2 linked regions of the Ovis aries genome follow. The protein of the gene in region 2 binds, or shares a complex with, the protein of the main gene of each other region. Links are inferred from orthologs where the notes say so. Each region holds a gene or a part of one and is shown on either strand. Other genes may lie near its edges.

Region 1 (4,291 bases), on a different chromosome or scaffold from region 2:
GGGTCTGTGGGTGAGTGTGCAGAGTCTGCAATCAGGCACCTGCAGCCCACAGACAGCGCTTGTGCCTCTGTCCCTGTGACCGCGCTGACCGAGGCCACTGCCCCTCCCTCCAGGAGGAGCTGCCTGCCTTCCTGCCGCATCTGGGGATGGGAGAGCTCCACAGAGTGGCTCTGCTGCCTACGCAGAGCAGTTTCCCCTTCCTGGAAAGGGGCTTACTGTTTTGAGCAGGACAGGCAGGTCTGGACAGTCTAAGGACAGTCCTGAAAACTGCTTCTAAGAGGCTTGACTTATTTGCACAGCTGTCCTCCTGTGAGCCTTAAAGGGAAGGGAAGTTGTGGTCCCCACAACACACAAAAATTGGCTAAGGGCTGTAGCACGTGTCACTCTAGCTACTAAGCTTCTTGTCATCATTGCATGTTTTGTGAAGAGCACAAGGAGCCACTTTTGGGGGAAATGAAATACATTTTGTTGTAGATAACCCAGAAAGCTACAGCTGAGAGCCACACGAAGAGGGGCACCTGCATTTCCGAATGAATGATGAAACCAAGCAGAAGAGCAAAGTTTTGAAATTGCAGTAAAACTCTGGGGTGATGAGGTCATAATTACTGGTGGAAACAAGAAGTCTTTGGCCAGGGTGGTGGGAATGGTCCAGAGGCATCCCTCGATACTTTATACCCCACAGTAGTCATTTTAGCAACTCATTTTAAACGTTTGCTCCACTGTCAGAGTTGAGTGGATACAAGGACAGGCATGAGGCCAGAATTCGAGAAATGCACGGAAGAGTCCAGCCCATTCCAAGAGCTGATTAATTCCAGCAAATGTAAACTGTGTTCTGTCTGGCACTAGCTGCGCATGTCGTTATCCTCAGTGGTCTGCTCAGCCCAGCCCCTGACTGCAGTCAACAGGGAGTAAATGTTCGCAAGGCTGGGTGACACAAGCAGGCGCCTGCTCACCCAGGTGGAGGGCCCGTACTCACGTCTACTCTACGCAGTGATTCAGATGTGGTCACTTACATGCGGGGATGGTGCAGTCTCGGGTGTTGTGGTAAAGTCTGTGGAAGTGTTTGCTGCACTTTGGGCTGAAATACAGAGGGCCTGGAGCATGCAAGGAGAAACAGATAGTGAGAGCTCCTGGGAGACCAACACCTGGGGAGAGGGGAAGGAACGAGGGGCAAGCTTACCTGTAAGATGTTTTAGAAACTTGTCTTTCATCCTTAGATCTCGAGGGACAATTTCTGTTTAAGGGAAAAGAACTTGATTATTAACTTGACCAAAAGAAGCCTTTTCTCATGTGATCTGAAGTGGATGTTTAAAATTACTGGATATTCTTCTATACACAGCAATCAAAGCAGTCCCTTGATTGCTGTACACGGCGATATGAGGATGGGTGAGTGGGCACATTGTCCTCGAATCAGGCTCACAACACTCCAAGATCTGCTGCTAACACCGATCTCTACCATCAGGAGAGAGGCAGGGGCCATGAAGTGTGTGTGTGTGTGTGTGTGTGACAGTTATCTTCCAGTGAATAAATCTCTCTAGACACTTCCATCTTGAAGACCTAGAGAATCAAATTCAACAGTCTCTCAAAGTTCTAAGAGGAAAACCTGATATCATCCTTCAAACAAACAAACAAACAGAATCTGCTATAGGCGTGTTCTTCTGGGTATTCACTTAGAAAAAGGGTGAGATTCTGTCAGTACCACCTGTTGTGAAGGCTGGTATGAATGCATGCCCTCAGACATAACCGGGTAGACGAGCTGAAAGTACATTTCCCAGGGAGAGCTGTGTCCGCACAGTCCCAGCTGGTGCTGGTGACTAGCCTGGCTGACATCCTCTCTGCTTTCAGCCTTGTTTCTGCTCTTTCTAACAGTCATCTGGATTCATTTTTCCTCACCTGATCTGCACTAGTAATGTGATGGCATGTGGTCACACTACCACCAATTCTCCTCATTCAAAGAGGGAAAATTTCCATAAGAATCTTGCTTGCAAGGTTTAGACATCTCCTAAATGTCAGTCTTCCCTTACAACTAAGTTTAGTCAGTCTATATAAAATTGACCTTATCATATTTGACCTGATTGTGTCATGAAAGCATTAAAAGCTTGCATGCTTTCCTTGGAAATTTCCCAGAGGGCAGCCACTCTGGGAAGGCTCTGCTGTGGGGATGGGGGTGGGGGGTTCTGAAACATGTCTGTCTCAGTTGAAACCGCTTTGCTGAAAATATTTCCATTTCCAAAATAACAGATGACAGTTCCACGCTGAAATTACCGACCAGGGTAACAACTCACACGTCTTAGATGTGGATGAGGGCTAGTTACGTTATCTGCCAGGCATCATTCATGGAATTCCTATCTCCTTTTTTAAATAAAAATATTTCCCAGCTTTTTTTAAAAAACAGTAGAAATGCATTTATATTTTAAAACTACGTATGCGTTCTCAGAGTTCTATCTCCAAGCAAGTCCTGGTTCTTCCAGCGTCCCCTGATACAGGACAGGCAGACCCGCGGGGCTTGGCCAGCCCCACGCGCAGGAGGCCTTTGCAGGCGGCGCTCGCCTGCACAGCGGGCGGGCGGGGACTCACCCACTCTCTGCTCCTCCGGGTAAGCGTAGTCCGCGACCTCCCTGCGGTCCAGGGTGTAGTCCTGCCGGCCCGAGAGCTGCAGCCTCTTGGACTCCCCCGAGTGGTACTTCCTGAGCTCCTGGACGATCTCCACGATGAGCCGCAGCAGCGTCTGTCGGTCCGCGGCCTCCCGGGGCTCCGCGCCGCCCCTGCCGGGCCCCGCCGCCCCCAGCACGAGCAGCATCCCCAGCAGGAGGGGGCGCCCGGGCCCGTGCATTCTGCGCTGCGCTCGGCCGGGCCGGGTGGGGTCGGTGCGCTCCCGGAGCTCAGCTCGCTGGAGGGACAGGGTGCGGGGAGACCCGGAGAGCCGGTCGGCAGGGAGGGCGGCGAGGCCCCTCCCCTCGGACCGCGCGCCTCGGCCCCCGCGCCCCGGAGGACGCGCGCCGAGCCGGTGCAGGGGCGCCCCGCGCCGTCCGGACCGGGAAGGCCGCCGCGGGGCCGGGGCGGGAGGCTGGGCGGGGTCCCCACGCGGACGCCCCCTCCCCGAGGCCCCTCGCGGGGACGTGGAGAGCGCGCCGTGGGTGCCGCGCGCCCTCAGCGCCGGGCGGCACGCGCCTCGGCCCCGCCGCGGCCTCGAACTTTCCTGGAGATGGCGCATCGGCCGGGGCCCCGCGGCGCGGCGCGGCGCCTCAACTTTCCGTCCCCAGCGGGCGCCGAGAGGGGGCCAGCGGCGGCTCGGGGGCTCGGGCCCAGGCGTCTCCCTCAGGGAGCCGCCGCGCACCCCGGCGAGCCGGGGGTGCGGGCGCCCCGCCCGGCGGCCGGGCTCAAGTTTCCAGCAGCGCCTTTGTGTGGAGGCGGCCCCCTCTTCCCGGTGTCCCCGATCTCCGCCGAAAAGCCCCCGCGACGAGACCCTCGCCCCAGACGCCCGCTGGGCCCGGTTCTGGAAAACCCCTGGCCCCGGGGAGGGAGCCCGGCTCGTACCTGCCCGGCGCCAGCCGCGGGGCCACCTGCGCGCAGGAGCCCGGCCGGGTCGCCCGTCCCTGCGCCCCGCAGCCGTGCGCGTCCTCCGGCGTCCGTCCCCGCGCCCCGGAGCTGGCGCCCGGCTCCCTACTCCATGCCCGGCGGCGCCCGGCCGCGGCGCGCACTGGACGCGCGGGGAGGGCACGCGGCGCGTCGGAGCTGCGGGCGCGGAACTCGCAGTGGCCTGGGGTGCGTGCTGGCGGAGTCCGGCCTCGGACCTCGGGGCGCCTCTTATCCCCGCGGCTGCCGACGTCAGGGCGGGTCCCCCGGGCCCGGCGCCGGTCTTTAATTAGAAGCCGCCGGAGTGTTCGTATCCCCGCGCGGATCTTCGTCAGACACCCCCTTCACCGCCCCCATCTCCCCCCGTCTCCCCGCCCCGCCGGCCCCCCCGCGTGCCCCCCTCCTTCGCCCCGTCTCCCCGCCCCGTCTCCCCCTTCCCCGTCTGCCCCGCTGCCCTGCCTCCCCGACCCCCTTCCCGCCTGCTCCGCTCCCGCCCCCTGCCCACCCTGCACCCCCGCCCCGGCGGCCCCTCTCCCGTCTCCCTCCCCCCTCGTCCTCCCCTTCACCCCCCCTTCTCTCCTCCAGTCTATTTCGCTCCGTTCCTGTCACTTATGACAGGATGAGAAGAAACGCCTTTACCAGGAACTCGGATCTGTTTTTGTCTAAATGTAGATCTCGGCTATTAAAAAAGGAGCTGCCTGATTGCCTCACATTT
Region 2 (3,803 bases):
ACTGAGGTCTGGAGGAGGCTGGGGCGGGGGGGTGGGTGGTGGGGGGTGGGCGGTGGTAAGTTTAGCCATGGTGTTCTCCTCTGAGAAGACCCCTCCCTGAGCAGCCAGCAGGCTCTACACGGGGCTGAGGTTCAGAATCAGGGCTCCTAGGAGCCAGGAGTGTGCTGGAGACAGAAGGAGAGGGGCTTCTGCTTTGGCTTGGCTTGGGCTGCCCTCATTACTGCCGCCCAGAATGACCCTTCAGCCTGAGAAGGCACAGCCTGAGATGCCGTTCTGTTCTGCCAGATCTTCCTTCCCTGCCCTGCTCTGGAAGTGCTGGGGCTCTGGGACACTCACCGATCATGATGCCGGAGAAAGCCAGGACGAGGGCGGCTACCAGGGCAGAGGTCACGACGGACAGAATCAGCGAGAGTGGCAGGTGGGGCTCTGGGGTGGGCGACACTGGAAGACAGTCCCCACGGGGCACGAATGACCACATTGATTCTCCTCTGAGCTGCCCCCATGTCAGAAAGACCCCTCCCAGCCCCGGACCCACAGACCGGCAGCCTTCTTGGAGGATGAGGGCAGTTTCATCCTGGTTTTACAACTTCTAACAGCTTTTGTGGAGAGGCACTATGTAACAGGGATAAATATCACAATCTTGACACTGACCTGAAACATCAGCTGCGCATGACAGGATGAGGATGGACAGTGAGCCGATAGGGGCTGTAGAAGCGGTTCAGGTGCCCTGTGTGTGCGTGTGAAGTCGCTTCAGTCGTGTCTGACTCTGTGCGACCCTATGGACTGTAGCGCACCAGGCTCCTCCGTCCACGGAATTCTCCAGGCAAGAATCCTGGAGTGGGCTGCCATGCCCTCCTCCAGGGGATCTTCCTGACCCAGGGATCGAACCCACATCTCTTATGTCTCCTGCACTGGCAGGTGGGTTCTTACCACTAGCACCACCTGGGAAGCCCCTCAGGTGCCTTAGTGAGTGAGTGAAGTCGCTCAGTCGTGCTGACTCTTTGTGACTCCATGGACTGTAGCCTACCAGGCTCCTCCATCCATGGGATTCTCCAGGCAAGAATACTGGAGTGGGTTGCCATTTCCTTCTCCAGGGGATCTTCCTGATCCAGGGATTGAACCCGGGTCTCCCACATTGCAGGCAGACGCTTACCCTCTGAGCCACCAGGGAAGCCATCAGGGGCCTTAGGTGACTACAAACTCAGTTTGACCCAAAGATAGAGTATGCCTGTCAGTTAGACTCAAGGCTGAATTGATGCTCTATCCACGAGAGCACTGGGCCCAGCGCGTGGGAGGGAGAGCTGGGTGCGTGATGGTACTGACCACACCAGGCACCGAGCCTGGTCCTGGACACGGCATTTCAAAAGGGACGTGGACAACTGCAACAACAGGATGGGAAAGAGATATAGACTCATGTCCCATAGACTGGATGGAAATAAACGGGCTGTTTAATCTGGAGGAGACTTGAGGAGGAGGAAGGCAGCATGCTCTTCAGACGCCGTAAAGGGCCACTACAAGCAGGAAGCTGAGGGGTGGAAGTCGGGAGGAGAATGGGTCTGGCTCCGTAACTCCCCAACGGGAGACCCTGTGTCTTAGGAGTACTGAGGTCCTTGGTGCTGGGGTGTCTGGTGGAGATGAGCTGGCCCCTTGGTGGGGATGTGGGGTCGCATCCTGGGCTAGTGGTGGGACCAGGTGACTTATGACTCCTTCCCAAGCCATGACCCACCTTTCGCACACAGGTCCCTTTGCCTGTCGTCCGAGCACCCATGCTGGGGGCAGACAGCAGTGTCAGGAAGTTTACAAAGCTGCGTCTGAGGTGTCCCAGAGCCAGGGAAACTAGCTGTGGCTCAAGCTCTGTGCCCGCCCACCGCCCAGCCCCTTACCAATGCAGGAGACGCCGTCCTCAGCCAGCACGGTCCCGTGGTCGCAGAAGCAGATGATTTTGTGGCTCTCGGGGTCCATGTGGCACTCGTCTACCTCGCAGTGGCTGCAGTTTAGGTAATGCTTAATGTTCACTTCCCCGTGGCCCTCCATCACTGGTGACAAGGAGGAAGGGTCAGCCTCAGGTGGAGGCCACCCTGCACCCCACCCCTGGGCTCTGTGCTTCATCTCCAGCTGCCGGTCCCTCTTCCTACATCCCACTGCCACTGGAAGCACCGCCTGTGCAGGTGGCTCCCTGATGCATCTGGTGAGCGAAACTCAGAGGACCTGTAGGCAGGCGGGAGGGTCCACACTAAGGACCCTTAGATTGGCTGCCACAAAGCACAGGGCCCATTATTGTTGCATTCACCTAGGGCTGACCTGCCTGGAGTCAGTTTTTTGTGAACGTATCAGATCACGCATCCTGATTTCCAGAAAACGTGGTGAGGCGACCACTAGGAAGACTTGCCTGCAAGGGACCCACGATCACACCTGTGAGTCCTGGACTCACTGAGTAGCCCTGGGGTTTCAGCTGGGAGGGAGGGAGCACTGGGAGAGAGCCCAGGGAAGCAGGCTCTGCTACTTGGCAGAGGGGGTACCTTTTAAAGCCGGGGTGTACAGGATGCCCAGCGGATTGATGAAGGAAACCCCGTCCTCCCCGTCCATCTCGGGGTCGTTGTTTGAGGCTGCATTGCCACCTGTGGCAAACCAGAGAAGAGTTTAACGCAGAGAGGTGGGTGCCTGAGTCTGGATACAGGTGCGTATCAGCAGGGTGAGCGGCGGGGTCGGGGAGGGGCCTTGAGGGCGGGGCGGTGGGAGGGAAGGGAGCTCATGGCACACAGGATGCAGCTGGGGCTCGGTTCAGTAGCTGCTGGGTGTGCGGGCCACTGTCTCCTCCAGGGCCACGGTCTCCTCTGCTGCTCTGCTGGGCTCTCCCAGGAAGCAGTCCATGTGATCAAGAGTCAGAAAAGTTCTAGTCTCCCCAGGCTGGGTTGGCCCCTTGGCCCCTCTGCCTGGGGGTGGCTCTCCTGTCCCATCCGGTGAGGGTTGGGGCAGGGGGATGGGCCCCTGTGCCTTTAGGCTCCTGTCCCTCCTTTCAGCAGGGCTTGGGTTATCTTTGGGCTCCCCGCCTTGGGCTCCTCCCACCCGCCCAGGGCTCGGAAAAGAAGAGCATCTGGTTAACACAAGCATCTTACACACAGCCTTAAAGCAAAACACAGACAGCACATCACAGCACGTGCATGCATCGTGTCCTAATCTGGGGGGCGCTGGAGCCATCATCTCCCAGCCTCTCAGCTTCAGAAGGCTCTTTTGCTCTGCTCCGAAGCCCAGAGGAGAGCCAGGGCCAGGGGCCAGCTGCGTGCTGAAGCGCTGGGCTGGGATTGCCCACGGCTGCTCTCAGGAGTAGCCCCCATCAGCATGGGGGATAGTGCCCCTTCTGGAAGCTGGTGGGCTGGGGTAGGGAAGGGAGAGTAGGGAGTCCCTGAGGCCAGAAAGTGCAAACCAGGCCCTCGGGGAGCTGGCTTGGCAAGGACTGTGGCCAGGCCATCCAAAGGGAGGAGTCTGGCCTCCAGGGTTCTCATGCATCCTTGAGGGTGGCTCAGAGAGGAGTCTGGGAAGCCAAGGCCCCTTTATCATCAGCTTTGGGGGAGATCAAGAGTCACTGGGATCTTGATGCTGTCCTGCCGAAACCTCGAGGCAGGATGCTGGCTCGGGAGCCAGCACCCTACCTCTGGCTTGTTTGGCGGGCTGGGAGGAAGGCGTGCATGGTCACATCACAGTCCACACGTGGGGTGGGCCGGGGGCGGGCAGGCGAGGGCTGGGGAGAGGACAGGGGAGGGAGGTGCCTAGGACTAAGAGGGGAGGGAGTGACACCTTGAACA

Evidence for each region.
Region 1: the proteins of ALK (region 2) and ALKAL2 are in contact, whole or in part, in a cryo-EM structure (PDB 9G5I), measured with the Homo sapiens proteins. The link is inferred for Ovis aries from reciprocal best matches to the Homo sapiens genes ALK and ALKAL2. Residues at the interface, in NP_004295.2 of Homo sapiens: Leu684, Tyr739, His755, Ser758, Leu760, Phe856, His857, Glu859, Leu965, Tyr966, Thr967, Pro968, Leu970, Lys971, Val972, Met973, Glu974, Glu978, Asn980, Val992, Glu994, Cys995, His996, Met997, Phe1007, Asp1009; in NP_001002919.2 of Homo sapiens: Ser112, Lys113, His114, His116, Arg117, Leu118, His120, Asn121, Thr122, Arg123, Asp124, Arg133, Arg136, Leu137, Arg140, Leu141.

What each region holds. Positions count from the first base shown.
Region 1 is NC_056055.1:266,421-270,711, forward strand, and holds the start of ALKAL2 (ALK and LTK ligand 2), read right to left. Parts: upstream 2,908-4,291; 5' UTR 2,834-2,907; coding exon 2,578-2,833; intron 1,235-2,577; coding exon 1,181-1,234; intron 1,095-1,180; coding exon 1,014-1,094; intron 1-1,013. UniProt on the Homo sapiens protein: Cytokine that acts as a physiological ligand for receptor tyrosine kinases LTK and ALK, leading to their activation. Cytokine-binding is sufficient to activate LTK. In contrast, ALKAL2-driven activation of ALK is coupled with heparin-binding to ALK.
Region 2 is NC_056056.1:36,062,707-36,066,509, forward strand, and holds part of ALK (ALK tyrosine kinase receptor), read right to left. Parts: intron 2,619-3,803; coding exon 2,520-2,618; intron 2,037-2,519; coding exon 1,884-2,036; intron 442-1,883; coding exon 337-441; intron 1-336. UniProt on the Homo sapiens protein: Neuronal receptor tyrosine kinase that is essentially and transiently expressed in specific regions of the central and peripheral nervous systems and plays an important role in the genesis and differentiation of the nervous system.